Linked DNA regions of Drosophila melanogaster. The protein of the gene in region 1 interacts with the protein of each later gene in a pairwise test. Each region holds a gene or a part of one and is shown in the gene's direction. Other genes may lie near its edges.

Region 1 (7,455 bases):
CACTGTCTGCCGGCTTCATTATGCAAAATGCAATGGTACACAAGCCGATGTGAAGAGGCTGCTTGTCTCCCTTATGAGTTGCACTGTTCAGACTTATCCTGGCCAGAATGGTATTTTTTTGGGCCCTGATGGTGCCCAAGCACTCACACATACACTGCATACACTGATGGCATTTTCATAATCGAGAAAAAAAGGTACCGAAAATGTATGTAATGCCAAATTATTAAGACCCAGAATGAGTAAAAATCTTGGAAAGAAAGAAAATTTCAAACTTCAACCCTATTAACTAACATTTATTACATAGAATTACAAAAATATATTGTATAATTATTCTCAAGGCAGGGCATGCCCACTGCGACTTGGATAAACAATAACAGAGATTCTCTTACACTCGTATATGTTTTTCATATCACCTGCGAAGAAAGCACACACACAGAATCGGTGTGTCATGAGTGAAAAAATAAAGGAGGTGAGCAGTTCGTGTCTGTCTGTGCCAAACGAGGTACGAGTGCAATATTTATATTATTGCAGCTACGGCGCCACATTGCAGCGACATGAAATGTTTGGCGTTGCATAAAAACCAAACTTAATGTGCACTCCCACGGGAATGAGGATGAGTTTATTGCTTTTGCGACTCGAGGTAACGCATTCTGTCCCGTTTGTGTCTTCTATGGGACTGAATGATTGTCACAATGAGTAACACCATGATCACGATCAGGATCACCACGCTGATGGCCGACATGCTCAAACTGACCGATTTGGAGGCCATTGCAAAGCTGCTAAAGAGGAAAATTAGTTCCATGGAATCTCCTAGCTTTGAAAATGAAACGCCGGTTAGGAAGTAGTAGGTAGAAGCGCAGTTAAACAGTATCATAATCAAAATCATGGCCACCAGCTGCAAAAATGGGATATTTAAATGTTCGAAATTAGACTTCACCTCCATTTGGCCGACCACCCACCACCAATCGCATGTGCAGACGGGTCCTGGAATAATTCGAGTGGTATAACCAGGTGCTCATGGCGTAAATCAGGCAAATGTAGGCAGTTCCCACGCAGACCACTTGATGGCCCAGCTGCTCATAACTGACGTGGAGGGGCAGGACGTTCCCAAACACCGACGCGTTCAGCACGGAAATGATCTGCGGAGCAGATGACTGGGGTGAGTCACAAGGTCAGATATTAGATGGCAGTCAGGTGCAACTAACCGCCGTGAGGAATAGCAATAACGATACGATTTCCTTGCGGGAGAGTAACATAATGGACGTAACTGGTAATTTAAAAATACTGCAACAGTTACTGATGTTTAACTCAAGGATTGATAAGTCATTTTCTACTACTCATTTTTAATGTGTATTATTCCAACAGGAATGATGGAGTAATTTTAGGTGCATCCGTTTGGTGAATTGCCAATCCCCTGCTGTTGTAGCTCTGTTCTCACTTCATATCCTTTCGAACAAGGTCGTGTTCCCGTCTTCCTAGATTGCCGGCCTATTTGATGAGCGCAAAATCATCGAGAACAAATTGAAATTTGCACCCATCGTGGAAGCTTATCTGCGCCACGCAGGCACTTGCAATGCCACCCATTCCACACAAATGGGAGCGGCAGGCAGCCGGCGCTAATTCATCAACAGTAAAGGCAATTTAGATACTCATCTACCGGATATCGACAGCCAGGCAGCCGGCAGAAGGCACAAGGCAGCCATGTAAGCAGATACCCTCGTCCTGTTCCGAGGACTCCAACCCATCCATTCCGGCGGCTGAGAGCAGCGCGGAGCGTTCTGCAGACAGGGTTTCATAAAATATTGATGGACGTGAAGTTGGCAGCGCATACTCGCTTCCTGTTCCGTGTCTGTCGCAGCCATAAATAATTTGCTGTAAATGCAATCGTGGGGTTACGTGGGGCATGGCATGGGCTACCCTGTGGTTCGAAGTGGGCGCTTTGGGTGCCAGTGGGTGGTGGGAGGTGGGTGGTCATCCGACGGTGGGGGCAGTGGTACGATGCTAATGGCAAGGCGCACGGTGCGAAAGTGTTTCGTATGAATTATTCGCCGGCAGCCAATTTGGAGTCACGTTTGCCAGCACAATTGAAACTGAACACCAACCATCGAACCACCGGCCATAGTGTCAATCCAGTGCTGGCGATTGCAGATAAGAATAAATAGCTATTTCAAAGGGAATCTCGAGTATATATAAAATGAAGAAAGCTTTGGTTATCTAGCTGAATGCAAGGATCGATTGTCTTATTAAAATTGATCAATAATTGTTAAAGACATAATCAGAATTTTTAGAGCAAATAAAGAAACGTGAGAATATTATAATTATTTTGTTAAAATTCAGTTTTATGGATATGGTAAATGTCTTACAAATATATTTGGCTTCTAATCTCTATACATAATATCCTTGATATTCTTAGCTAATAGCTAAGGAAAGTCTATTTCAACAGCACTGCCTTCCTGTTGTGAACCGCCTGTCGAAATGGTGTAATTTGTTATGTCTGCCACTGTAGCCGACCATGTCTATCTTCGGCCCGGGCTGCTTTTTAATAGCCATTCTCCTGCTGGCCGACTGTTGCTCGGCGGTTGTTGTGCCTTTATCGCCGGACTGCCTCCACTCCACCGTCGCCTACTCCTGCTCCTGCTCCTGAGTTCGTCCTGCGCCGGCAGGGTAATGTGTATTTAATGACGCCATCTCATGTACAATGCCCGTATCCGTTCTGCCATGATCCTGGCCTTGTCGACGGACACCGGTTGTCCTCCAGCGCCTAATGTCCAGTGACCGCAGCCATCTGCAGGATAATGCCCCGGCTCCTGGTCGACGGGTGCCAATAAAGCTGCGCCCGCTGGCAGGCATTTCAATTTCGTGCCTGCCCTGCTTTTTTCAATATTTTTAAACGGCAGCCATAAAACGTGAGCGGTAATGTGCGGACAAGGCTGTTTAATTGTACCCCTGCCCTCAGGGCAATCAGCAACTGTTTGTCTCAGATTACGATGGTAAGTCTCTCGATGTGTTTAAACAATAATTGAATTTAAGTACGTTCTCCAAACAATAGAATAGAAGCCCAGAAGAGCAATTCATATCTTGAAACCAGTGCACTGGCAAACTAGTTTGACATGTATGTTCGCCAAAAATTCTTAAATATTATATACTTAATGAGATACAATAGGGTTTTTGGTAATTTTGGGCAACCAAGACATACAGTATCTTTATAAAATCAAAAGGAAATTATGATAACTAAACTTTTATACACAGCTTCCATATCTAGTGATCTTTATTTTCTAGTCATTATCGCAATCTTATTATTATCACTCCGAATATCATCATATTTTTTTTGTGTACATTACTAATATATATTATCCCTAAATCCGTACAGGGCAACGATGAGTCTAAAGGATCTCAATCTGACCAAGGAGCAAATGATCAAGCTTCAGCAGTTGCTGGCACAGGAAATAGAGGACGAAAGCCAGCAGGAGCGGAATGAGCTATCAAACGATGATTTCATAGCCAATGCACTGGATAAAGTGCAAGTTTATGTGGAGGCTGGTAAGCCAGAGGCTTTTGTCCAGCTCAAAGAACCGCTATTATACAAATTTAAGATTACCTCAAATGGAGTAGCTACTGGATCTTCGGAATCGGATAAGTTTCAACGCGCAGACGCCAAGGAAATTGCTCGCTGGAAATCTGACCATGTAATAAATTTGGATTGCATTTCAGACGAGGACTACGAGCAGTTAAGCCAAATTCAAACCGATGAAAGTACTGGAGAAACCTACATGCTCGTGCCCATTGATATAAACATACTCATTGACGATACCGAAATAACTCCTGATACTTCCACAAAGCGTATCACCGAAAATGACGCCTACAATGCGACGGGAGCGGGACACACCATCTATATGCATCCCGAACAAGAGGGGCATCAGACTGGTTTAGATAGAAATCCTCAAGCTAAACACGCTTGCCCGGCTCCGCCAGAAGAGCAGACCAACTACGACTACCACATGCACACTTTCGAGGTGCCCAAGCTGAGTTTTCCCTTTGAACTCAAGTTTGGTATTGATACTGATCGATTGGTGGGTGGCAATGTGGATAAATCGGCTGAGGACTCGGGAAAATCAGATCACGACGACGATCTGGGGGTAGCTACCGAGCTTCAGGACGTCCTAGAGGATTTAGAGGTATAAAGATCATCTTGCTTTTTAACGCCATCAAGGAAATCATTTAGAACAACAAAATTTGTAACTAGCTTTCCAAGTTAGGTGCCTCTCGTTAACTAAATCTTTGTCTTAAATTATAAATATTTTATGAAATTATGTACAAGCTAAAATAATGCTACAGTATTTACAACTTTTTTTCGTGTAAGCATTCCCATTTCCTAAACGTAAGTAATGTGATTTAATTTAGTAGACCCAATCTAACCGATTCAATAAGCGTTCGAATTGCTGTTGCAGTAATAATAATGCTCTTAAAAGGGGTTGGTAAGTAGCCTACATGTTCAAATGCTTAACTAAATGGCACTTCCTCTCAAACAATTGCACCTAATTGCAGACACTTGACCTAAGCTGCATAACAATGACCGTCCACCCAATTAACCCCCCGATATCGGACTTATATATATATATATACATATCGACCAGCCCGCAATGCAATCTCATCCCCTGTTCAATACAATTTCCATTCAGCTTGCAGCACGGCAAAGAGAATATGATAAGAAGCAATGGAAAATTTGCATAAAGCTTTTAGCCTAACGACGCGACATTTGTTTTTTATGTGATTCATGGACCACCCTCACTTTATGTTCATTTTTTTCCATTTTCATCGCAGAATGCAACAACTACCAACTTCCGCACAATTATTCAGCAATTTTAAGCACAACAATCGGACGGCAGAAGGGGTCGAGCTGGGATCTGGCGGAGATCTGGTTGCATGCCTGATTGCCTGGGGGCCAAAAAGCTAGGTCCTTCGATTCCGACATCGACTTGGTCGCTTAAGCAGATTGAAACAATCTCCGGGCTGGGTAAGAGCTTATAGCCCTCATGGACAAAGGGGGGAGGAGGGTTTTCTTTGGCTTTTAACTTTCGCCGGGACTGCCATTATTATTATTCTCCGGCGTCTGCCTGCAACTGTCAGTTGGGTAATTTATAATGAAGTTTCCTTATTGACAGTGGCAGCTTCCCTTCGAATTCCTGGCTCCCGATTCACGATTCGCACTTCCGCTGCAGCGATTCTCCTGCAGTTGGGCATAAATTATGGATGCCTCTATATAATATATCGCCATAAATTGCTTGTCAAGTCGCGAGTCGACAGGCGAGCTAACTAAGATGCCGATGCCGATGCCGATGCCGGCAAACAAATAACAATCAAAATCACTTTTCGACCCCAAGTCGATTTATTTATATGGGACGAAATCTCGGTACTGAGGCCTTAATCGCTGAGGCCAGCCGCATCATGAGATCGTCAATCGTTTTGATTTATTGCTATTTTATTTGCGCATATCCTTATTTGCCTTGGCCGCAAACTTCGAACCCCAATCAAGGCCGAGACTATTTTATTGTTCGATAGCTTATCAGGCAAAGGCAAACAGACTGAGCGCCTTGGAGGCCGGCAAATATCATAATTTTCGCAGGACACGCTGCCCTGTGTTTGTGTTTGTGCTGGTTTCGTCCTGTCACAATGCCGTGCAAGGCATAAATCTGAATTAAATACCATTTTGAGCTGCTCGCAAGGAGTAGCTGGTCGGAGAAAATGTTTATATTCAGCACATTGTCACTTGTTGTGGCCTCTTTCTTGGACTCAACTCAACTCAACTCTGGGCCAGAAATTCCGCCGGGAATTGCTGCTCAGTGGCCCGGGCAAATAAATATTAATCATTGTGTAATAATTTTCTGCTGTCAGCTAAATTCAAGCAAAGTATTCATAATCCACAAGTAAGAACCGCTTTTGACAAATCGCTTTGCGGGCCACTCGCATAAATATTTATATTTATATTCCATGTAGGCCGGCAGTTAAAATGCTTTTAAAGTTGCCGAAAGTTGGGCGCCAGTTGCTGATTTGATTTTTTCAGCGATGTTTCCATTTGTTTTCTCGCCAACTTTCGGCAACTGTAAATCAGTTTGAGATCCTTTGATGTGTGTTTTGGGCTTGGGTTGCGAGAAACGAGATTGCAATAATCAAAATGTAATAAACAGAGGCTCTCACACATCCGCTTTCAACTGGTCGGGTCAAAACCAAAATGTTCTTTATGCACGGGTCCTTTGTACGTGATTGTGTGAGTGTGAGACCTTCTCATCTTGTCCTTTGTGTGTGTGGCTCTCAGCATTCGATGCACGTAACGCATTGTTTGAATTTCATGGCGACTTTATGAGTTTTGTAATCAGGTTTGTGAGCAAACAGACCCAAAAACACACACGCAGCCTAGCACTCACGTGTTAACCTGCACATAAATATTGTTTCTGGTCGTGGGCTCACCGATTCTCAGATGTGGGCGTGTTGACAAGCCGGCCGAGCAGCCAACCGCCCGTTAATGCTAATGAAACCCAAAGTTTGGGCTCGCCTATTAAGCCATTTTGTGGTCTGCAAAATCCACTTAAAACGTCTGGCGGCAACAAAATATTTTATTGCATACTCTTATGCGCAGACATTACCTGCACCTCTGCCTCAGCAATCGGTAAAAATGTTCAACAATGTGATTTATACACGCTGGAAGCACTTAAAACTAGACACACACTTTCACAATAGACTGGTCACACCCCCGGAACGCCCCTTTTGTTGTTTGCTGGCACTTTTGGAGCTCTTCCAAGGATCAGAGCTTAGTCAGCACACATGGAAAAAAAATCAGACACATTTTAAACTGTTAAACTTAAGGATATATACATAGATACAATATAATTTTAAATCGTACGTTAATCATGGTCTAATTCTGAAATGCTATTAGGCAGTTCCTTAAGCAGATTCTTTTATTGTAAAATAATGACCTCGTTATCCTTGGTTTTTTTTCTCGGTGATACTCTATTGTCTGTTTGCCAAACAAAAGCCTCTCTGCAGTTGATGACTAGAAATTAACTAAGCAGCAATAGCAGCAGCAACAATGTTGCCAAGACCGAAGCAATGGGGCTGTCTCAAAGACCGGAGGCCCCACCCCCACCACGGAAAGCAAACAAGTAGTATTTCCAACCCCTCGGCTTGCAAGTCTAGCTATCGGCTGTCCACTATGGAGCATTAAATAAATATTTGCCATGCTCTGCAGGAATTTTGAGACCCCAAGCCCAAGGAACACATCCCTGCCTGCCTGCCTGCCCGTCCGACTGGGAAAAAAATATTCTAAATATCATATCATCAGCATTTTTCGATGGAGTCTCGCCCTGGTTTCCATGGGGCCATGCGGTTTCGGGGGCTGGGATCGTCCAGTGTTTACCATTTATTTTTTGATTTGGGTATTTAAGGTGTAGATGGATGGGC
Region 2 (9,246 bases), on another chromosome or scaffold:
ACATCAGAAAGGTGTGGGAAAATGAAGGCGAATTGCATCAAGGAAGCTGCATGGTTAGATCAGGGATAATTGGCGTGGGAAATTAAGGTATTACTATTATAACATATATATTGAATGGGCATATAGGAAACGATCCTTACACTACTTATATTCGAGTATATTATCTTAAGGGTATTACCATCCAATTTATGTATACTACTGATTACTATTGTATAATTACCCAAGTATCTAGAGCAAAATTGTTAGTGAGCGGGTTTCCTAATCATTTCGCTTAAACACCAGTCAAATACGGCACGAAACCGAAACTCTCTATTATATCGGCAGTTCCCTTTCGCCACATTTCGCCACATTCCTGACCATTAACTGCATTTGGTTGGCCACAAAATCTGTCGCCATAAACCGAATGAACGTAAGTCTCGATGGAGCAAACTTGATTTATGAGCGATTGCAGTTGCAGATACGTATATATTTCGCTATCGCCGCACTCTCACTCTCGGCTGGTCCATTTGGAAAATGGCATGTCAACGGAAATTGCTTAATCATTTCCACGCATATCATGTACACCTCGTATACATATGACTAATGCCATCTGTCTGTGCTCTTCCTTTCCGCGCAGGTAAGTTTTACTGCTATCGTTTTTGGGCCATAGGCAGTTAAAGGAAATCATTGCGTAAGTCAATAAAAAACGGAGTTGATTTGTTTACTTAGGACTTCCCCCCCGGGGGAGGAGTTGCGTAATCCCCGGTTCCTGCGAGGAAGTGGCTCGTAAAAAGGGAGCCATTAGCATGTGCAGTCTGAAAAGCGAGGCGCATAATGGATTTTCCAATCAATGCAGCCCATAATTATGCTCACCAATGAAGTTATTGGCTCATTTGGTCAGGCGGCTAGCGAAATAAGTGGAAAATGAACTGAACGGAGATACACTCCACTCCTTGATTATCGTGGCCATCATACGAACATATCTCCTTCACCACCACTGCTACCTGACCCCTTGTCGCGCCTAACGATCTTTAACCTGACCAACAACGATCCCATCCCGGCCATCTCGGCCCAGACAGTCTGCCAGTCTTTTGTTGTTTATTGATCGTCGTGTTGCACAGCATTCAAACGTGCGTCGAGTGAATTTGTGTCTTTGTATCTTTGCATCGCAGTACCTTTGTATCTGGCGAATGCATTTCGTTGTATCTCAAGTGTATGGGATTGTTTGTACCAATGTTTGTCCGGCTCATTTGCAAAATCTGCTGGGTAATCAGACACCGGCTAGGGATGTCAATTAGCTTATGTTGCTGCTGCTGCGGCTGCTGTTTTGCCAAGTGCGTGACCATTGAACCTGCATTTCCCATTTCCCATTTCCCTGCTGCTTTAAGTGAAAGTGAAAATGCCAGTCGTTCGTTGAACTTGCTGGGAACTTGGCATAAGCAAAGCTCTGCCGACCCTCAGAACTAATTGAAGATTTCATAACTCAGCATTTATGGCCCTTTGCAATCTCAGTGTCAGACTCTAGGAGTCTAAAGCAGACAATTTATGATACAAATTAAATGCATGAAAATTATGATGAATGCGAGGCGAAATTTATGCTGATGACATACCCAACAAAAGAGCGCCAATCCGCCCAGACTCCTACGGCTTCACAAGCTCCTTCTACCTCGCCTGCTCCTGCTCCTGCTCCTCCTCGTCCGCTTCCTGGAGGGCAGCTCCAATCAAGAGCCAGACGATCCACAGACAACAAATCGCCGAGTCAAGGAGTTTGCGGCCCAAGTCGTTTCTGTGTTCATGGATACACGCAAAAAACGATGTGTTACATAGTAAAATCTTTGGAAATATGTATATTATTATGTAGCTCGTTCTTAATAACTAAGATATTTGAATTTACTACACTTATTCGTGCCACTTTCTCTAAGTGTAAGTCTGGATCTGGTCCTAAGTTCCATTGCCTCCCGCCCCTTCCTTTATGGTTTTTTGAGCAGCTGCATGAGGGGCGGGGAGTACAACGAGGTGGACTCCTTGTGGCTGTGGCTGCCTGCCTCTAGCCGAAAGTTGTTGCGTATTTAAAATGGAAATTGCAAGTTTTTCGCTGAGCGTTCCCAATGTCTTTTCCCTGTCTCTCTTGCTCGCTCGTCGACGCTTTTGTTTCACTTTCGTTTGCTGATTGCAGGTTTTTTGTCTTAGCTCATTTTGATTTTATTTCTCCCGTCTTATTCGGTGCATTTATCACGGTGCCACACATTTGTGCCACAAGATGCCAGAGAATCGGGCGGGCATGGCCAATGAAATTGGCCGCAAGTTTCCTTTTCATTTTCATTTTTTTTGCAAATTGAATGCTGCTTTTCAAGCCGATTTCAAGGGTGAACGATTATTGGCCAAGACACCACACTCCTTTCGCCATGATATTTGAGTGAAATTTCTTCATGCAGATCCATCTGCAGTTTTGTCATCTCTCGCTGGCAGGTTATGAAATATTTCGCAACTTTTGCTGCGAAAAATTTCCTGTTTTTCTTCATTTCACTTACGCACTTCTCTCCTTTGGCGGAGTTCGGTGGGTTTCTCGGCCGATTGGTATTAATTATTATTATGGTCTCGTTTTTGTTTCGCCTTACGGATTTCTGCAGCTTTTATTTTTAATGCCCAGCGAACCTGTTGCAATGCGTTCCACAAGCTGAGATATGCGCCTGGGTGTGGAGAGATGAATAGTTATGAGGTTTTAGGTTTGGCTAGCCAATCTTGGTTTTCCAAAGGGTGCCTGACACTATATATTTAGTTTTATTTACTATCATAAAAGTACGAATGATCCACTTCTATCCCATGACCAACTCACGTATGTTCGCCCCATGCTATTCATCCCTTAGTCTTTTCACCCATTAAAACCATTTAGCATTCATTAAGCCCAATTTCTGCCCCATCCATGGTGCTCGGAATAATCAACAAATTAACTAAATTCCTAGTGGGCGCCTCCATCCCCAGAATAATCCAAATTCCGAAGTTGTGACATCAAGAAATGTCGAAGCGATTTCAAGTGCAGCCCCGGGGAATCTTGGGAACATATTCGAACATTCCCAATCGTCCGCAACCTGTTTGATCCGTTGGTTATCAAAGATATTTCCAAACATGTTCGAAGCGAACCTCATGATGAGGTTGCATGGAATCCATAAGATACAATCCACAAGCTGCTTTGCAGCTACAGCCCAGCGGAATTTCAATTCAGTTCGCGCTCAACTCACAGACACGATGGTCATTCAAACGCGTTAACGAATAATAATTTAAAATAATATTCAAATGATAAATACACTAAAATATGCACTAAACCACGCACTAAACCTAAATCCACGAACTGTACATATTTGTGTAAATAAATAAAGTATAAACAAACAGCGAAGAGAAACCTCGAAATACCAATAGACCGCTCAAGTTCCCATACATTGAGCTGGCCAATCGTGTTTGAAATTATTTGTTTGATCGATTTTGTGCGGTGTGAACACCTTGTAAAGGCATTTGCAAACCTATTGCCATAGCAAGCAAAGTGTGTTAAGCTGGGAAACACCCTCTGAAAAGTTTATGTACTACCCCCTTCGATCGGTCGAATAATAACTACCACAAGACAAGCATTAAGTTTGTGTTTACGTGCTGCTGACTAATTGCGTTTATATAGCCCGACTATATAAAACTGTACAATAAGACACGGCCAACTGTTTTAGTTTGAACGCCTCAGTTAAAGCTGCAAATTGCTTCGCTACCAAGTGAAGTTCTACATTTTCGCAGCGAAAACGTTTTTCAATTGATTTTCATTAAGTGAAAAAATCCCGAGATTGTCTTCTTTTCGGTTTCCAATTGATCGCAATTGCACCAGACCCATAAAACATATATACAAAGTGAGGCTGCATTCCAAGTAGAGCAAGACAGTAACCACTTCATCATCACAACATCAGATGCTGCATAATTAGCATTCGTTGCGTGGAGCGTCGAAAAAAAAAGCGGAAAATGTATCTCATACAGGTGAGGCCAAGCGATACAATGGATCCCCCTCTCACGATTAAGTGTTTGCTCTTACTTATCACATGCTGGCGGCACTGCACTTGCCGACTGAAAAAGATCTTCATTTAAGCGTTTTTTAATTGTCCGCCAGCTGAGATTTTCAGCATTTACAATTCTCCCCTCCGTTTGAAATGACTGTGAGAGGCACGCATCTCTGGCGTATATAATTTGTTTAATTTGTAGCTAATTTATCTTTCCACTTGGCAGCGGGCAGATCGGATGTCGAGCAAATGGGGGGGGGTTCACTGGAGCAGGTGCCTCATTACTGAACTTTGAACTTGAAACGGTGTTACGATTTACAGCTGGTAATGGATTACGGTTAGGCATCGGGGTTCGGGTTAGCAGAACAAATGTGCAGGCCTGAGATTATGAAGGGAACTCAAATATTTTGACATAACCATTAATCATTTGTAAATGATATACATTCAATCGATTGCTTTTGAGTTATCTGTCAGCATTGCCCTAAATTATTTAGAGATTTATTCCGAGTTTATATCAAAATTTGTGGAATAAGTATGTCAGAACAACCGACACAACATAAATCCGACGATCGCTTCACTATCCTGCAAACCTTATCGGATGTAGTGGACTCTGGTCTCAGCAAGGAAGCCCTTAAAATCTGCATCGAACTGGTGGACAATGGTGTCTGTGGTGGAGCACTAGCACATGTAATTCGAACCATTAGAGAGGAGATTCAAGATGATGAAGATAAGGAAAGTGATGATTCCGGAGAATCGGCTGCATCAACAGACTCAACTTTGTAGGAAATGAATATAAAATATATTTTTGTGTTTATATTTTGTGTTTGTTAAATTAAAAGTTCAACTTTCCGATGGTCTGTTTCCGAAATTTGTAAGACGCTGGTTCTTGGACATCCAATTGCATGATTTTTGAAGGCTTTCAAGAAGACTTCGCCACTCTATTTGCATTCATCAAACGCAAGCGACTGGCGTTTCTGAAAACGGTATATGTGCCGGCCATGATAATGAAAAGTTGCACCACTTTGGCTTGATAGTAGGTCTAAGATGATAATGTGTTTAGATAAAAGCTTATAGCAAACCGAAGCAACAAACGACTCACCTGTCTTATATAGATGGGCAATGGAATGTGCGATCGATGAACATGGTAATCCATTCCTCTGAACAGCCAATAGCCCGGCCACGCCCCCAAACTGGCGAAAAGAAATGGTGCTGCAGTACTGTAGGCCTTTTCAAAGGATTGCGAATGCACCAGTAAACGTATCTCCTCGCCAAGATTATGCATCCGAGGTGGGTGGGCTATTGCCTTGGCTGGTTCCTCCTCCTTTCGCTTAAGCCTCGTCGAGAACTTCTCCTTCAGATTGCCGTAATAATTTTGGATGCCCATCTTGGAAAGGTTTAATTTTCGACCGAAAGTTGTGTATTGTGTGTGTGTGTAAAGTTTGGACAGAAACATATATCAAGGCTTACCTGAACTAAGAGGAGTCTCCGATGTCAGCTGTTTCTTCCTGATTATTGTGCACTGTATGCATTTCTATTGGTATGCCGGCAGGTCGACCCATTGATATCGTGAACAGACCAGTGGCTAAGATAGCCAACTGCATTAGCTTGGCCTGTTGATAGGTCTGAAATGAATAGTTTTCAATAGGTTAGACTGCACGGGGTAGACTGCTATATTTCAAACCCTTTGAATGTAAAATGCGATTCTCTCCGTTTTTCGTGCGGACTGCCAGTTGTAGCCGCGCCAAATCCAAAACGCTGGCCAGGACAAAAAGCTGACCTCCAGATAGGGCAATATATCAATTATCTTCTTCGATAGACCCTGAGGTGCGTTGCGATCTACGAAGTCAACAAACTCTAGCTCGTAGTTTAAAGCTGGAGCCGTTTGTTCCCTAAACTTTTGCAACTTGACATCTGGGGTTGGAATATCACCAGAGGTTAGGGGTTCAGTGGTATCAGGTGCAGTTCGATCAGAGTCCGGCTTCCCAGTTTCCTGGCTCGAAGCTTCTGGTATTTGGTTTGCAGTGGTTTGGGTTTCTTGTGCATTCTCTACATTCTTAGGACTGTATACCACCGCTGCAATGGGGGAAGTAAAGTTATGAAACAGCTCTGAGATCTTCTGGAGCAGCGAATCCATGCTGAAAAGCTGAACTTTTTGACTATTAATTTTCAATTTTCCCAAAGGTGCCAAAGCAAACAAGAATAGCTTGCTGGGTTTTTGGTTTCGTTTGAAAAGTTCAAAGACTCGAGGCAATTGCATAAATTATCGCCTTAACTCGTTCGTTCATGCGGGCTTACATTTGTTTTAAACTAATTTACCCTATTCATTTTTCTATTTTCTGTCTTTTTATTTTGGGGGCCCACAGAAGCCGCAGAACAAGCTTCATTATTGCCGGACTGCGGGTGCCCAAGATTGGGGTTCTATAGTACGAGTACGAGTATAGTCTATATGGTGTATGGTGTACAGTGTGGTGCCGAAGTGGGTCAGTTGGTGCAGCGGTTCATGCAATTATAAAGCGCATATCTACAGGTTGCATACCAGATACCTCCACTTCCACTTCCAGCTCGACTTCGACTTGGGTCCATTGTGTGGCAGTGGCCAACTGCTAACGGCTCGGACTACGGCAGGTGTCTCATCAGTTCATTGTGTGTTTTTAGTCTTTCCACTGGGTCTTGTGTTTTTCGGTTGAAAATGTGGCTTACCTTCGGCGACAGCATGGAGTTGTATGGCTTTTGCCGGGACAAAGACGCACCTAATGAAGTGAAAATCTTTGGTTCTATTGTGATAGTTCTTTGATTAGCGGACTTCGTTTGGAATATTCTTAAGCCACTCCTGATGGTTCATCGATCATGTGGAAAGTTGACATCTAACACTCTAACAGTTCTCTGCATCTGCGGATGAATTGAGAAGACTTAGAATTGATCCACTTGCCCACTTATTTACCTGAGAGTATCAGCATTACCATTTTAAAGCCATTATCTCTCCCCGTTTCCAGCATCTTCAGACCAAACTACTCAAGCGTTGAGCCTGAATGGGGCTTTCATTCAAGACGCTTTGAAACCACAAATTGCATTTCTACGACTTCACACAGATCGATTCCGAAACTCTCCGTCTCTCAGTATTCTATCCACATTTCTCTGAAACTGCGGCCTACACACAAAAATGCCTCTACCCTTTTAACTGTTCAAAGTCAAGCTCAATTAACCCAATTTCAATTTGGAAAATGATTTGCAAAAGCCAAATAAATCGTTTTGAAAGTCTTCGGCCTGTTGCCAAAACACTCGAGCATAAATCAGCACCACAACGAAATTTCTTTGGCCAAAACGCCAACTCGCTTTTGGGCCCACCTGCAATTAGTCTGCTCAGGTGGGTGTATACTCTTATACTCTCTTTCACTCCCCGAATCGTGTGAAATTGCAACTTTGACTGCGGTCAATGTTAATAAAATTTTCGATAGAAACCATTAACTGGTAACTTTACTGGTAAATTGTATAATCAATTGACAGCTGTAAATGTCTGGGTTTCCGTGAAAGGTCTGCTCGTGTGACAGGTGACGACACTTCAGGTGTCAAGTGCGCAAAATTCGGTGGAGATCGGTTGCCAAAACAGTTTTGATTACATTAACGGACGTTGCTTAATTTATGAGTTTGAAATGGTTATGTACAGTGATTTTTTCGAGTGAAAACTTTTTCTGATGCTGTAGAAATGGCTGAAAGATCAATTAAAGCAACCATATTCATTTATAAAGATTTACCGCGCTGTTTGCTTGGCTAAAGATACATTTGAACTCTGAATACACCACTTTACATCTAACAATCCATGGGTTTCTTGTTGAAAAGCTTTTAAGCCGAAGACTATCTAAGAACTTTTCAAACCCGGCTCACCTTGACTTTCCATCAAGCGCTAATCTTGATCATTTTTAACTGCATTCCCCTTATCCACTTTGGGCTACCGGCCTTGTCAGAGAAGCAATGAATCTTCAATCTTGTGAACCTGCCTGCAACGGCAAAAAGCCAATCCCCAATCCTCAATACTCGAATAGTACGCCTCATCGTTCTTCTCTCAGCATTATTATAAAATGCCGCATCACTGGCCGCCAATCTCGACTAACCCATCTCCAAAGAGGCCCGCATACCGAATACCCGTGCATATTACTCAATTTTCAATGCTCAGATTTCGGACAGACAGCGAAAAACAAAGGGCAAAACGAAGATGCCACACCAGACTATACGAGTATATAAACACAAACAATGCCCGGAGTTGACACTTTGACAAATGATATTGCGGCTGAGTCGATAAGAACTCGGAACAGAAAGCCTCATACATCAGAAATGCGACATATTTTTGTTCCAAGATTTTTTTTTTTTTTATTGCAAGAGCCAACAAAAAATTCTAAAGTGAATGTGATGCTTAGGCTATCGCTAGAACCTTGGATTGCCGTTACACTGGGTCAACAACTTGGGCAAGTTGAGACGATCTATATTGATATTGATATTGATACGGATTTGCTCCAGATTTACACTTGAGCGCATTGCTGATCCTCAAATGTCGTCTGTGGTTTTCGATTCGAATTGGGATGGGTTCGTCTCGGTGCGTAATAAGAGCCTTATTGTAGGAGTCACTGGCCATTTGATCTTGGCCAGAATAAATCCCTGGCTTAGCGGTGTGGAATTTTGTTTGTGTTTTGGGCGAGGCTTTCATCCTCTTTGGGATTCCTTTTTCTCTCTGGGGTGTGGACCATATAATTCCGCATTCCACTGACATGAAATATGTATCAATTTAATTACCTCGAGGTCCTGAACACGCAATTAAAGTTCAGGAACCCCTTTCCGAACCATCCCTAAAATACGTTTGTACCTTCGTTTCGAAACAAACATTTTATGATGTAGCAAGAAACAGTAAGACGACACACCTACAACTACCTGAAAATAGAGAACAGGATTCTGTAATTCCTTGAAATGTCAGGCTAAAGAAAGAATAAATACTATACGATTTTGATTCCTACCTGTTTCTTTCTTCGCTGGCCTTTCTTCTCGATCTGGTGAGGATGATTTATCTTTGACAAACTCATTTCATGCCCTATCAATTGGGGAAAAGACGAAAACCTTTGAATTTGAATATTTTACGGGGGTTCAAGTTCATTGCCTTTGAGGCGTGGTTCTCGTTACAATCAAAAACCTTTTGTTGAGGTGTTTTCGTGGAGGCGTAAGGGTTTTTACGGGTCTTAACATTAACGTA
Region 3 (8,208 bases), about 12 Mb from region 1:
GTCCTTTCTCCTCCTGTACAGTTCCGTGCCAGGTTTTCCCTGTTCTTGTGGCTTCGTTTGGCTCACATTCAAACTTCAAGTGGTTTTTTGGGACATGCTTTCCTCGGCGTTTTTGCTTTCCTTCCGACACTTTTGACTTACTTTATGGCCCGGTCGATTATGCTCGCCTTATCGGGCTTTAAATGGGTCTGTAGTTCTATAGGGGTGGAATATCCAATCTCCTAATGCGATTTCTTGATTGAAAATACATTTCCTTTCATAATTTAGCACTACATTTTAAGAATATGCCACTGAAAAGAAGTCAACTGATTTAAGAAAGAATTTCTAAATTAAACATTAGGTCATTGCTTTATTATTGTAGCTACAATAAACAAGAACTTAAGGCTTTAAGGATTCATAATCTGTTTGGAGAACAATTCTGTAGCATACAAATTTTTGCTAGTTTAATGACGTGTAACAACATAATTATTTTGATGTGCTCGTTGGTGAATCGTCTGCCTATTAAAAAAAAATCACACTTAAAATAATCTTAAGTAAGAGACTATATTTGATAACGAAAATCCTGTAGATGTTTGGCATGATTGATTGCTATCCTAAGTTAATGACAAAGAGCATTATTTTTGCATCACAAGTACTTGGCATCTTAGCTATCGTATTCTATGGTTTGGCTGCGAATTTCATTCCAACTCAGCTTACAATTAAATGAAATTAACATAAATAACATAGTAAATTGGCTAGGATTACAGTTCGGTGTGCTTGGGCTTGTTGAACAATCTCTCGCACAGTTTGGCCAAAATCTGGGACACCTCCAGTCGGTACTCGTCCGTGCTGTTGGCATACCGATTGCGAACGGTTAATAGTGCATGCCTGAGACCGGAACTTTGCGACCACGTGCTGGTGCACATATCTTCGGTGGTCTCCAATGCGGTGGCAAACTGTTCCACCACCTCCGGTTGCTCTAGGAGGAGCAGGAACTCCTTGGTTAGCACAGTGTCCACCGCCGCGCAGTAGCCCGGCGTTTTCAGCCACGACTCGAAGTCCAAGAGCACATATTGCGCCATTGTGGATGAGGCTTCGGGATCATCTTTGCTGACATCCAGCACTGACCGCTTCTCCAGCACTAGGTCGCTTATGAGAGTCACTACCTTCGCCTTGCTCCGCAGCTCCACATCCGGACTCTGGAGCACCTTGATCAGAGCCTGTGTACCCGAGGTGGAAAGCACTCGCTGCTGGGCTAGCGGAAATTTCCGCAACAAGGCTCCAAAGGCGTGCAATGCAGCGGAGATCTCACCGACATTTCCGGAACTGGTCAGAATCTGAGCCAGATGAGACCCGAAATTCTTTTCGAACACCTTGATCTGGGCCTTGGGATTGTTGCTCGCCAGCGAGCCCAACACACGCATGGCCGACACTCTCAGGGATGTACTGGTATCGTTCACAACAATGGGCAGTAGTACATCATCCAATCCCCCATTATCAATGAACATCAAGGCATTGTCTATCTGATGGAGCAAATACTCCAGATTTTCCAGGCAGTCCAGCTTGGAGCGCATCTCTGACTCTAGCGGCGTTCTGCTGAAGTTCCGAAACTGATCGATTAACTGGACGATCAGTTCTCCGTCGGTGCGAAAGTTCTTCTGGAACTCTTTGTACGCTTTGCGTAGCTCGGCATAGCTCTTCTTCTGCTCCTTGACCCGCCGTATAGACTCCTCGATTATGTCCGGTTTATAGTCCAGAGCCAGGGGTTCGTTGTCATCGTGAGATTCCCGAGCATTCTGATCATCCGGTTGACTCTGCAGCGACGTGCCACGTTCGCTTTCGTCTAAGAGTTTGGCTTCCTTGAGCCCCGTTTGTAGGTTGATGCGCACGTGCAGGCCCCTTGGAATAGCTTGACCTGGAAATATAGAGTGCTCACTTAGTACACGTCATCCGAGAGTTAGCCTGGCTAGCCATTAACCTTCCGCAATCGTCTGCCATTCGTCGGTGGCCACGAAATCGTTGGTTTTGTTATCCGTTTCCGTTGCCGCTGCCACTTGTAAGCATCCCAGGATCAGGACACTGCCCAGAAGGATGACTACCTGCTTGCCACTCATACTGCTTCAGCTTGTCTTGCCTCCAGAATGTATTCAGTCTTTATTTCACCTGGTTTTAAGTAAGTTTCGTGAGAGTTTTTAAATCAGATTTCAGACTTCTGATGTGGATGTGGTTAATAGTATGACCGTAGGGAGCTGCATTGATTATACCGCATGTGGCGATATGTTCCGTGGAGAGCCAGTCGATTCGGAACCAGTCAAAGGCGGTTACAATTCAATTTCAAATTTGAAAATATTTGTAATCAATAAATTCGTTATAAACAATAGAATATATTAAAGTATTGAAAAAGTGTAAACTATATGTATGCTTTATAATCTTTCTTTATATTTATTAGATTGTGCTGTTGGACATTCCAAGCCAAATCTTATATAAATAAGTAATACAAAAATTAAGTAAAAATTTTTATGGTTAATTTTTGCTCTTAGTCCGGAATAGTTGGAAACTTTAAATGATTTCAAACATTATTTCGCTAACAAATTAATTTTTATCCCTAACGAACACAAATATTAATATTTTTAAACCTTAGTTTGTTGTGAAAAACAAGCATTGCTAGAAATTTCCAGACTTGAAATTAATATTTAAGAACCAGAAAAAGTTAATGCCATTCAGAACGATTAAACCACATCAAACCAGAATGCCACCAAAAATTCCCAAACTCATCGTGAATTCATTAAAAATTGAAAAGTAACCGCCATTCATAAGCTTTCCACTTCGTTACAACGTAGCTAAACTAGTTATAAACTAAACGTATTTACTGAGTTTACAAAGAAAAACGAAATCATGTTTACGCGCAGATGAATCAACCAACTCAAAATTGAAATGCCAAATTATTTGCAGGCAAGCCCGACGTAATAAAATAAAAGCGTGTTTGCATATATTACCATATTTCGCCCCCGAAAATCCGTTGTAATCTCGATGTCTACGACAGCGTCTAGGAATTGGCTGCGCAAACACATCAAAGTGGACAAAAGTGAAATATTTGGACTCACCTGGCGCCAATTGGATGGGTAAATAAACAGAATGCCGGTTTCATGCCAATCACACACCAAATATACATATACATATGTATATATGTAGTATATGCTAATTGCTGATGACGAACGCCAGGAGCCTTTAACTAGAATTTGCCAAATTAAATTCACTCGGCCCGTTCCGAACGTCGCCTGTCCAATAGTTTTGAAAGTGAAGCCACCTCGCCGAGCAACTTTTATCCGTCGATCCATCCATTATCGATTATCGATGCCGTTGGAACCTGTTTGATGTCGTCCAAAATGCCCGACTATGTCTAATTGGTTTATGTCGGAATTGAGTTGTGTTGGCCACAAAAAGATTTATCTTCGTACATATGTCCAAAACGGAAATTTCATAGTTGGGAGCCTTGGGATGCATTCTTCCTTCTGGTCGGAATACAATTTCATAACTTAAGTGATTTTTATCGTGGATCCTTAACCATGACCTATTCATTATCATTCCCTTTCAGATTGCCTGGCCATTTAGCACACTTAGGAATTCCCCCAGAGGTAGGTTCCCAATTCCAAGTGCTGATCTCAAAGCAAATATGGGATGAATAATATCATAAGCCAATAAGTACGAATTGATATTTGCACTTTATTAAAAGTGTGAACAAAGCGCGGATTCCATTTCACGGAGTTTGAATCTATAAAAAGTACACAAGATGCCGAAATATAGTGCAAATTATATATGTATAATTAAATTATATATATATATAATGCATTGCAGGATAAGTGGAAATATATTGGTTAATTGCTTGAAAACTGACTGGATTGAGCATTAAAATTTTGAGTTTCGCTGCCTTTTGTGCGCGTTGCCATTGTTATTGTTTATTGTTATTTGTTGCTGCATGCTAATAATATTAATTAATAATAATGCTGCTGCCAATTCTGGTTAGGGGTAGCTGCGATAAAGATAAAGACTGCGATGTCTATGATGATGAGGAGAATCCATAACACGAAGCGAAAGAGATATACACATACGAATAAATAAAAAAAAAATATAAATAAAAATAGCCAGCAATCAGACAGACAACAACAACAGCAGCAGCAGCAACAACAAGAAAAACAAGGGCCAAGACGCGACAAGTCAGGAATGAATAAACTATGAAGTGTACTGGTTGTTGTTGGCCACATTTGTTGCCGCTCCATCGTTCTGGCCGATCAGAAATTTTATAAATGCCGCCGTCTGTCCAGAGCCGATTTACAGTTTGCCATTGAACCTGGTCGGGCATTCGCCAAATCGTCGAGCGGTTGAATTTCGGGGCGCTTGAATTTCGTACGTAACTAGATCCATATCCAGAATGATGCTGCTCCAGCTGGGCTGCGTGGCCCTCTTCTGCTGCTTGGTTAGCGGTGCCTCGAATTTCCGTGAGTCCTTTGGCCAACAATCCCAGTGCTTCGCTAATCGCCAGCTTATCCTTGCAGCTCCCGAACTGCCGCGCTGCCACATGGGCGACACCAGCTGCATCATCAACGTGTCGCACATGCTGATCAGACAGCACGCGAGGACCGGCTATCCGTCCGCTGGATTCCCCCAGGTGGAGCCCTTCCTGATCAAGCGCTTCGACATCTCCGACGGACGCACTGGCTCCCTGAATCTAAAGCTCAACTTCAGGGACGTGAATGTGGAGGGCCTGTCCAGTGTGAAGTTCGACAGAGCCGTGTAAGTAGCAAGTGAAATGAAAAGTGATTTCCTTCTTAAGCAAAAGTGAAGAAGTTCTCATGTTTATTAACAGAAGAAGATATATTAAGTTGATTGCACTTATCCATCATAATCGTATTTTTCAGTGGCTTTGGCGCTGATCCTGCAACCAGCAAGTTTGAGATGTACGGATCCTTTCCCAAGATCGTGCTGAAGGGCAAGTACGTGGCGGATGGACGCATCCTGATCCTGCCGATTCGTGGCGATGGCGATGCCGAGATCGTGTTGCACAATCCCAAGTTTTCGGTGAAATTCAAGCCGGGCACACAGCAGCGCAATGGACGCACCTACCTGAGCGTGGATAAGCTCAAGGTTCTGGTGGAGCCACAAAAGTAGGTGCAGTTCGGATTTTAGCTGAGATATACTAACATATTTGTGTTCCCACAGGATGAACATTCGGCTGGAGAACCTCTTTAATGGCGACCAGGCATTGGGCACCAATCTGAATCAGTTCCTCAACGACAACTGGACGGAGGTGTGGAACGAGCTGCATCCCTCCATTCATGTGGCCATCGCCGAGATCATGAAGAGCGTTCTCTCGCAGCTCTTCAAGCGCTTCGCCTACGAGGATTTATTCCTCGAGAACTGAGCACTAGTCGTCCTAGTCGCCATCAGGCGCCCTAGGACTTTAGGCTAAGTGTACGAGTATTTCCTCACCTATCCAAGCTATTCTCACTCACATGGGGCGTTGCATTCCGGCATTCCGGCCATTGACACATCATCATCGTATCATCGTATCTGCTAAGCTAAGCTTTAACTTGTAGAATAAACAAAAACATTCGAAAAAAAACTGGTTCTGCTTCTGCGGGGGGCCATTGTTAGCTAAAACGTGGATCTCACTATTTCCGCACAAGTGTCGCATACACTTTTTGTTTCATTTTTGGCCAGCAATCAGCAATCAACAGGCAGCTCACGTGATGGAACGATTGATTCGAAATTTGCATGACAAAGGCATTATTGCTAAGGTGACTATACTTGTGGATAAAAGCGTAGTTATACATACGCTTAAAGTATTAAAACATCCAACAAATTGAAATAAACACCTTAATTATTATGAGCAAATACTTTGTGTCTTAAAAAAGACGAAGATGCATGCTCCTACTACTACTCCTACATCCTGTGCAACTAATTTAGCCCAAAGTGCACTAAAATTAGTATATGATATGATGATATGATATATGACTAAGATCTGCTTGTCTTAGAATCAAGAACTAACTAAATGGCAGTGCTATTAATCTGAACACAACTGTGCTGTCACTCATTGCGAACTCATTTCACTGTCCAAGTTCAAGAGTAGCCAACGGTATAGCTGCCATCCCGATCCCAGGGAATCGGACACCCAGTTGGCCTTGGGTCAGTGAAAATCTTCCACGAGCGAGCAATCAACTGCAGCGATTCCGAGCGAAACAAGTTGCTTTTGTTCTCCACGGGGGCTGGACTTTAAAGCGGGACACTTGGTCATTAAGTTAACCCAAAGTCTAGGACCTGTTCCGAGCTACTACTCCACCGCTACTCCTCCACTGCCCTTCACTTCGATTCGCAAGAACTAAAGCCAACTAAAGAACTGGTGGTCACGATGACTGCGTTGTTTTCGCATCTCAATTCGGCTATATTTGGAACTGGCCCTTTTGTGAGTTGCACACTTGCCAGTTAACTTTGTTAAGGGAGAACTTAATACCATGACTTTTAATTGGACATAATCTGTCTGATACTTAAATTCATTGAGCGGATTTTCGATGTAACTGATTGATGAAGATTAAGGTGAATAAGAAGATTTGCTACATGATCTACTTGCTGTCTAAAGTGCACCCAAATGAGGTGATAAACTAAGGCTTGTATTGAAATTAGAACAACGTTTTCTTACCTAATACCATCAGATGATTCAGTTGCTATTCGTTATTAGTTGATGATTCTGAAACGAGCTCTGGAATTGACAGACAGACGGTTACGGCACAGATAAGAGCTATATCAAAGGTTGCCATTAGACGTTATTTGAGTTGCACTTAGTGGACCACTATAAATACTAGGCGAAAATCCCGTTCGTATTCAGTAACTTAAAGTTATAGACGTGTTAGCATGTTCGCAATCGCATTCGCAGTGGTTTTGTGCCTTTTGGTCTCGGTGGATGCCAAATTCCGTAAGAGAAAGTCCTTTAAAACAAGACCTTGCCAATGAAGTAATAATCTGGGAAACCTAGATAGACACCTACCTCTACTTTTCGGTTCCAAAATAATCCTTTGTGTTCCTCACAGCCGAAGATCCAAAACCTTGTAAGTATGGTGATGGCGAATGTATCATGAAGCTGTGCAACACCCTGTTCAGCGAAAACTCGGCGGAGGGGGATCCTGGTCTGAACCTGATGCAGCTGGATCCGTTGAAGGTGGATCGGATGGTTATTAGCCAGGGTGAGAGCTCCAGTCCCGTGGGCATAACTCTAACCTTCACCGACAATCTGTTGTATGGGATCAAGGACCAAAGGATCGTCAAAGTAAAGTGGGTGCAGGAACAACACTTTGTTTGGATGAGAAGGATGTGATTCAACTTGCCTTGATCTTTGCAGGGGTTTCGGAAGGGATCTCACCGCCAAGCACGAAGTGAAAATTGTCACGAAAACCTTCTCACTCGTTGGACCCTATAACATCCAGGGCAAGGTACTCATTCTACCGATCAGCGGAACTGGACAGAGTAACATGACAATGGGTAAGCTATGCCAATTGATTTTTCAGATTTCGAGGAACTAAAAATCCTGTCCAGTTAACGTCAGGGCAATCGTCAGCTTCTCGGGCAAACCGCTGGTGAAGAATGGGGAGACCTACCTGGACGTTACCGATCTGAAAATAACGATGAAGCCGGAGTCCAGCCACTACCATTTCAGTAATCTGTTCAATGGGGACAAGGCGCTGGGTGACAACATGAATGTCTTCCTCAACGAAAACTCGGAGGCCATTTACAAGGAGACGGCCAAAGCAATCGACCGATCCTTTGGCAAACTTTACCTGGGCGTCGTCAAAGGTGTGTTCTCCAAACTGCCGTATGCCAAGTTTTTTGCGGATGAATCGTGAGTTAGCTCTTCAAAGTGGGCAGAGTCCACATAAAGATACTAGATCATGTTGTTTGCGTACTGACAGATCTAAGTTTTGAGGCTAGCAATCATCATTAGGTTTAATGGAGTTCGTGTTTCGCGTTTGAAAGTGAGAACACAAGTAACTACTATTAAGCCATCTCAGCTAAATAATCTGTAAGTGTTGTGTGGCAATAAAAGTTACATATATGTAGTTAGCACATTGTAAATTATTTATAAGTGATACAAAGAATTCTGTAAAATACCATAAAAACATTTAAAACTATGACCCATTATTAATTAAGTTACAGTGAGTGGAACCCTATAGATCAGGTTGA
Region 4 (7,409 bases), on another chromosome or scaffold:
TCTGTCTTAAAGCGCACATTTTATTAACATTTATTAACTTTTCGAATATTAATATTATTAATTTTTCTTTGTGTGCCAGCGGACAACATTTTGTGGTTTTCATTGCTGTTTTCGTTGTGGCAGAAATCCTTTTCCGTTGGACGCGGAAGTGGGTCCTGCGGGCAGAGGTGTATGGATTGGGGTTGTCACTGTGATCGGTGGGTGGCTTGGTTGGTGGGGGGTGGGGGGTTCCGAAGGGGCGCGTTGCACGCACGACTACATTGTCAAAGTTTTGTGTGTCATTATTGTGGCTGTTGGCGGTTGCTCTGTGCCGCCGTTACCCGCTTTTCCTCGCCTTTTCCCCGCCTTTTCCTCGCCCTTGCTGCCTGGTTGTGTCCCTCGTGGTCGCAATCGTGTTTGTTGTTGCGGGTTATTAAAAACTTTTACCGCTCTCAAAGACCCGCCCACAGAGACAAACGACGCCCATCCATTCGCACCCGCCCATCCAGACCGCTGCAGTTGCTCGTTTTCATTTTCATTGTGAATGTTAATTACTCCAGCGGCGGTGACAACTGCCAAAGCCAGGATCTGTTTTGGTCCAGGACCTGCCAGTGAAGCTGCTGTCCGGCACTTCTACACTTCATTGGCACTGAACAAATCTATGGATTACATGTTTTGAAGTTCCAAATAATGTTTATTGCAAAAGAAACATAAATTAAATCCTATCATTCAACTCCAAATGAAGCAAGAAGTATTTTAATTTGTCCTTCGAATTACCGTTTAGCAATTAAATTTCTGTATTTGTAATTATATATATGTTTTGCTCGCTGTGTACTTCCTTTGCACCCATTTTTTTACTCTGCTGTGTTCCCCTTTCTGTGGCTTATAATCAAACTTATTTACTTTATGTGACTTTTATGAGAATTAAGCTGCATGCGGTCGTAGTGGCTGGTGCTTTCATTTATTCCGATCATGACGATGCTAATGACGACGTGGATGAGATGTGGACCAGTTGGGAACCAACGGGACAGTCCTTTAATTAGATATATGGTTCCAAAGTGCAGGCTCTGGATGAGGTCTATCCAAAGCAGGAAATAAGATATTCTACTAATTTTAAAGAGCATTGGTTAAAATTCTGAATTTATATTTAGTATATACAGCTGGTTAAATTGGATTCCGAATCGATACGAAAGCTTATAATAAAGAGCCATTAATATAAACGATGATAAATATGCCAATATGACGCCAAGACTTTCCGGCCAACTTTCCAGGTAATGACAATAAATTTTTCCTAAAAGAAAAATCATCACGTAGGCAATACTTAAAGACAGCTGGAAAGCTAAAGATCTTTGCTCTGATGTCCTGAGGCGGATATTATTTGAAGGGAGTTTCGCCAAAAACACATTTTTTGATATGTTGTGTCACGCTGTGGGGCTGTCTGAAAATTAGGGATTGGGGTACCAAAACTGTAGCCACGTGTTTCCTTTGTCTGGTTCTTTTGATGCACAGTTGCAAAAAATGACTTTGTTAACTAAAAAAGTCTATTGTAGCTTTAATATCTCAATGATCAAATTATTTATTTTGTTAGTTTGCTGAAATCCTTTTTGTTTATCACCATATTTATTTTATGCGAAGGAAGTCCACACTTTAATCTCTCTTATGCTAACCTTAGCCCGACTCGTCTTCTTCCGGCGGTAGACGCAGCAGACGCAGCAGACGCTCTCCGTACTCCGGTCTTCGAACTCCAGGCTCCGTTTTCCATTTCTCCGGATTCGGCGACTCATTGTCTTTCGGCGGGCTCACGTGCTCACGTACGAAATAATTATAGCGCAAGTACGTGTCCCGCATTTGCGAGCACATGGCTTTCTCTTTGGCTCTGGTTTTGCTTTTGGCCCAGACGGGCCATCAGTTTTGCACACCCCCATCCAGTGAACACATTTCCCAGGGCTGGGAAAACAGCCCATTTCATTGGCATATTTATTTTTTTCCCATTGGCCGGGACCATTTTTAGGCATTTTCCGACAGTTTGGCGCTGTCCACATAGATTTTTTTTCGCTACTGTTCTTTTGTTTTTTTTTGTTTGACCAAAAAAAGTTGCCCCAAAAGTTTGTTTTTTTTTTTTTCGTAGGATTTACCCCATTCTTTTTAAGCCTTCGTTAACAATTCCCTCGGCTTTCGATGCGAGTTTTTATTTCTGCGAAGAGTCCCTGAAAAGTTGGCATCATGTGGCCGCTGCTCTGATTGTTTCCAGACCTCCATTGAAACTGTTGTCATTATTATTTTTTAAAGATATTATGGGGCTTTTGTGGCACTCTGAGAGGGGTAAACAATGGTATTGGAATCAGGTAGTCGATTGTTAACGGGGATCCTTTCAGACACTGGTAAACCCTTGCTTTTTATTGCAATTTGTTGATGCCAGTTCGTGAATGAATATGCAACATATTATCATTGAAATAAAGTAAATAAAGTAATATAAACAAATTTTTTTGTTTTACCTCCTCTATAACTTTCACAATATTCTATCCAAAGTTAGCTCCCCCAAAGCCCCAAAATTAGCAACCCTAATAGGACTTACCCCATGCAATTATCTATCTTATCGTGACTCATCGGGCAGATTAGTGAGGAAGTTGTCATGGGGTCTCTCGGCAACAGGCAAAACTCCAACCATGAGTTGGCCACGACATTCTCGTCCTCCAGAGTGGGGATTCTCGCAGCTGTTGCATTCTGGGCCTAAACTGTGCGTCTACTCAACCACAAAACACACAAGTTCCACTCGGCGAAATCCTGCGATGAGGAGATGAGGAGGTGCCAATATATGGAGCTGCCACAAGGGGCATAGTGGAAGGGCGCCCCGAAAACTCGCAAAAGTTTGCTCCAAAGTCCAACATATGTTGCCTGTTCATGCATGCCCTCGTACTCCCCCTCTCTCCACGTCTCCCCTTCCAAATTCCTTGCCCTGCAGTCACTAAGTTAGTCATACAAATGGAGAAAATAGATGACAGAACCATGTTAAAATAATGGTATGAAATAGAGGTTGTAAAATCGCAAAAAAATCGATTCAAACATAGTTAAATCATTGATGAAATCTTATGATATTTAAACATAGACAATTTTCATTAATAACGAAGTCGCTTTTATTTCTTTAAGTGCACGACTTTCATACACATACGGCCATCCAGCACGTGTGCCAGTGTGTGTGTGCCAGTGTGTAATTATAACAAGTTTTCTAGGCAATTTTTCTGTTTTCCTTCTCGTTTTTCGCCCCAGAATCTCGCTAGTTCCCCCGTTCTTTTATTTTATTTTATTTTTTTGGGAACGCTTCTGTTGGGTATCTGAAGAGCAAGAAGTAAGTTTCTGATAAGAAAGTTATGATGAGTTTTCTTCACTCACACAGCGAGCAGAAGATGGCAGCACATGTACACACAGCTGTTGATTTTGGCCAAATTAGTGCAAACACGTCTTGTTTTGAGTTGTGGCCCATGTGGAACATGTGCAACTAATTTGCAGTTATCAAGAGTTCTGCCTTCGACGGGGTTGAACGGATGAGCTCGTGGTCAGATGTCTGTATCTAATCCATCTGTTGGGGCATTGATTTTGGCATCCCAGATACATGCCACCAAACCCAATCCACCCACCATTGTTAACAAATTTCCATTTCCGGTGGTGGCCACAAAAAGCGAAAGGTGTGCGGATGGGCTTTTTCGGGCGGAGTTGGAGCTCGGAAAACCCCGCTGGCCTGTCTGCCGACTGTCAAAAGTTTATTTATTTGACACCGAAAAAGTTGACACAGACACCAGGCCGGGGGCGTGACTTTGTGCCTGAATCGGATTTATATGCCTGGCCAAAATTGGATTACAATTGAGTTGTAATTATGCGACAACAAAACGTTGCGTTCGAGGGGATGCGGATCCTTTTTGGGGTCCTTTGGAGCTCACCGCCTCTGTGTTCTGTTTTCCATGTTGTCGGCAATTTGAGCCAAGCGCTTGCTCAACGACGTCTTTTGAAATTTCGCATTTTGCATTAATTAAAACTGATTTAATTAAAGCTTGTCGTGTTGCTTTTAAGTACTTCAGGAACCAGGATGAGAGTAACAGGTCCTCGAGCTAGGACATCCACTAGCGCATCCAATCCACCCCATGAAAATGATTGAAGCGAGAGACCAAAGTGTTCTGGACTTGTCTCCTGTCGCCCTCGCCAAAGATTCTTTGTCGTCTTTGAGTAGGTGAAAGTTTAATTAAATATGCATCGAGCGTACACAAGTATGTGTACTTGTGGGCCACATAGATCGCATAGATATTTCACCGGAAGTCCCCCAGTCGGATTATGTCGGAATTAGTTATCCAAATTTTTTGGTTATCTCTTATCTCTTGTACAATATTTCACATAATACCATTCCACAATTCAGCTTTATTTGTCTTGTCACATATTTCAGATGCTCAGGTCTCATTGAGATTTCTATCAATCGGTATTGTGTGCTACCGTGTCAGAAAAATATTAGTTATTCGAAATCCCCAACAGCAGCAGAACGTTTCGATCGAAATTTCAGTAAGAACAGCTTTAAAATATTCAAAATGAATCCATTTAGGCCAAATCCAGGTCAGAGTTTTCGCATTCGCTTGAATATGGATCGCGTGCCGGGCGAAGAAGAGCGCAATATACAGCCATCGACTGATGAACGTCGAATCACCCAAATTCCACCGATTCAATTGCGCATCGATCATCAGCGGGATGTGAATCGTTTCATGATCAATATGCGTGTAATGCTACATCGACGGAGGACGGAATTAAATATGGGAGGCGGCGATAGTATCGGCGTGTGGAACTGGAGGGAGCCTCCGATGCCAAGCGGTTTGATTGGCGAGGGCGATTGTGATGGCGGTGGCTATGGTAATTACGCTGGTGACTATCATCCACCATTGCGGGGACTGCCACCAAACCCCTAGGATCTGTACCTTCTCTTACCACACTTGCCATCACTGTCTTTTGCCTCTCCCCTTCCTGTGCGTGTGTGATGTCCTTTTTTTCATTTCTGAGCGTCGTCCGCAAAAAAGAAGAAAAATGTCATCATCAGCTAAAAGGCCCGAAACCCCAAACACAATCCACTACCACTTCCATTCTCATTGCCACCTGAACCAGTAACCCTTGGAGAAGAACGGACCCTGTTCGGACGCATGTTGTTCTATTATTATATCCCCGTTGAGTTCTGGGTTGATGATTTTTCCATCTCCCCAAGAAAATTGATGGGCTTTGGAATTGGAGGACATGCCGAGCCCCGGACGCATATAATAATTTCCTGTTCAATGAGCAATTATCGTAATAAAGATACAATTCCGCTACTCTATATTATATTCGGATACGGGGATGACAATGGTGGTCAGTGGGCAACGATGGTGGCCAAGAGGGGAACAAGCGCACTGACGACAACGATGATGATGATGACTGGTCTCTTCCGCACTGATGTGATGGATTGAGCCCCAGCTCAAGTCTGATTCCTGTCTGTCATGTCACTTTTTCCATGGGGTTAATGGGGGCGTGACAAACATACGGGAAAAGCGCACGGAAAGTTGATTGAACTGCACTAGTTAACTATTCCCCGAAATGACTAGCATGCCATTTCAATTCTAGATGAATTTGACCCCAATATAAGCACTTCATTTTACTTACTTCATCCTAAAATGAACTTCTCAATGAAAGCTTCTATTTTAATGCATTTATTCTGAAATTCGTACATACATAGATTGTAGACAAATCAGGATGCCAATTGAAACAGATTTTGCCCTCTCAGCTGTGACATTTGCATAATCAAAGAAAATTTCGAGCGCAGCCATAGGAACTTTAGTGGGTGTTTGACTTTCATTATAGCCTTCTAGCAGCTTTAGGACTTCCCAATCACTGAGACCAACTGGCAGGGACTCGAGAGTATCAATTCGGGTAGATAGATGCCGTCCTTTATTCTATTTATTCTGGTTTTTTTTTTCCCCCTGCCATTAGCAGGCGACGTCAAGCTGTCAGACGAAGTTCGTAGCCTTTTTCTATGGGGTTTCATTTGGGATGGTCTTTGTTTTGCTTATCGAGAGAACATTTTATTGCTTTATGCGTTTAATGAAGTGTTGCTGGATCGTCGGAGTCAGGGAGGCACTCAAAAGCCCCGACCCTTGGGACACCCAGACATTCAGACATCCAGACAGCCAACCCTTCGCTTTCACTTTTTGAAACGGGCTCCAAGACAGAAAGCGGGCAGCATACATACATATCAAACATTTCTGACAGTCTATGACGTCTGCCAAAGGAGTGACTGACTCACTGACGGACTGGCTGGCTGGCAGGCTGATTGACTGATTGATGGACCGCCGACTGCCTTGGAAACCAAGACCGGTGTCACTCACTCACCCACGAAGTTCGCATGTAATGCATAAAGAATGAAGCTTAAATAAAAGTTGGGAGATGAGAAATAGGATTAACTTGTCACACAATTGAATTTAATTTCATACACAACGAGGGCGGTGAGGAAAAGCATCTGGAAAACCCGACCAGACCAGACCAAAACAGACCAGACATTGGCCCATCTCTCTCCTCACTTTGGGGAATATATAGACTTCGAGTCGACTCGAAAAATGCTTTTGTGGTAATCCCATGCTGAAGCCGATTCGGGGGTTTTGTAATGAAATTACACGAGCCTCAGATTTGTCAAAGCAATCAATACACCCGGATGTGCAACCATCGACCTGAATGGACCGGCATTCGATGGGCGGAGTTCCTTGATGAGCTTCTGCCATTGAATAGTGGACAGGTAAAAAAAAAAGAAAACCCATACATGTACGCCAGTGAAGTTTTGTATAGGCTTGATGAAAGAATGTGGAAAAAGAATTCTGATGTTTAAGTTTTGTTGCAGCCCTGATGTTGTAGAATGCCCAAAGAGAGGGACTTGCCCAACCGTCCAAAGGATCCTTTGACAATTCCCCATTCGCTTTTCATTATGCACATCATCCATCAATTAATTGACTGCACTCCATCGCCTCATTGCGTATGCCGCTCACATGCCGCTTGTGTCTTTGATTAGCGAAAACAAAAGCGAAAGAGTGACGGGAGTTCATTAACTGTCACACAAATGTGGCAAAGTGGAAGGCTGCACGTGGGTGGGGAGGTGTGTAGTGGGCGGGGTTGTTGAAGGACAGTGGGTGGTGGTGCACCCCATTCTATTCGTACATATGCTAGCACTCACCACCCCTGCCCTTTCGTCCGTTCAACTTAATTAAATAGCATCAGATTCGAGGGTGCGGAATCCTTTGGTCCGAGAAGTTAGCCAACAAACTCGCTCACCTACACCCAAAAAAACGGTTAATACACAACGTGTATTTCAACTGAATCAACTGCTATATATATGCCATTATTTGCTCATTATAGCAATTATTAAGTTTCTGGAAGCATTT

Evidence for each region.
Region 2: the proteins of CG8508 (region 1) and Svil interact in a two-hybrid assay, tested with the Drosophila melanogaster proteins (one large-scale study listed by BioGRID).
Region 3: the proteins of CG8508 (region 1) and Jhbp7 interact in a two-hybrid assay, tested with the Drosophila melanogaster proteins (one large-scale study listed by BioGRID).
Region 4: the proteins of CG8508 (region 1) and CG15576 interact in a two-hybrid assay, tested with the Drosophila melanogaster proteins (one large-scale study listed by BioGRID).

The regions. Positions count from the first base shown.
Region 1 is NT_033777.3:13,182,391-13,189,845, reverse strand, and holds CG8508 (uncharacterized protein), read left to right. Parts: upstream 1-3,349; 5' UTR 3,350-3,377; coding exon 3,378-4,181; 3' UTR 4,182-4,320; downstream 4,321-7,455. Other genes in the region: CG14380 (uncharacterized protein), read right to left, coding at 620-895, 960-1,139, 1,206-1,256.
Region 2 is NT_037436.4:2,384,792-2,394,037, forward strand, and holds the start of Svil (supervillin), read left to right. Parts: upstream 1-3,200; 5' UTR 3,201-3,975; coding exon 3,976-3,990; intron 3,991-4,473; exon of another isoform or gene 4,474-4,544; coding exon of another isoform or gene 4,545-4,793; exon of another isoform or gene 4,794-4,929; coding exon of another isoform or gene 4,930-5,049; intron 5,050-5,109; coding exon of another isoform or gene 5,110-5,394; exon of another isoform or gene 5,395-5,443; intron 5,444-5,477; exon of another isoform or gene 5,478-5,482; coding exon of another isoform or gene 5,483-5,632; intron 5,633-5,691; coding exon of another isoform or gene 5,692-6,144; exon of another isoform or gene 6,145-6,198; intron 6,199-9,246. Other genes in the region: Mzt1 (mitotic spindle organizing protein 1), read left to right, coding at 4,545-4,793; CG32299 (uncharacterized protein), read right to left, coding at 4,930-5,049, 5,110-5,394; CG32298 (uncharacterized protein), read right to left, coding at 5,483-5,632, 5,692-6,144.
Region 3 is NT_033777.3:25,233,305-25,241,512, forward strand, and holds Jhbp7 (juvenile hormone binding protein 7), read left to right. Parts: upstream 1-4,309; 5' UTR 4,310-4,408; coding exon 4,409-4,475; intron 4,476-4,532; coding exon 4,533-4,770; intron 4,771-4,895; coding exon 4,896-5,141; intron 5,142-5,196; coding exon 5,197-5,398; 3' UTR 5,399-5,591; downstream 5,592-8,208. Other genes in the region: Sil1 nucleotide exchange factor, read right to left, coding at 741-1,894, 1,958-2,093; to (takeout), read left to right, coding at 6,886-6,946, 7,062-7,302, 7,370-7,509, 7,564-7,871.
Region 4 is NC_004354.4:4,249,780-4,257,188, reverse strand, and holds CG15576 (uncharacterized protein), read left to right. Parts: upstream 1-4,398; 5' UTR 4,399-4,550; coding exon 4,551-4,922; 3' UTR 4,923-5,319; downstream 5,320-7,409.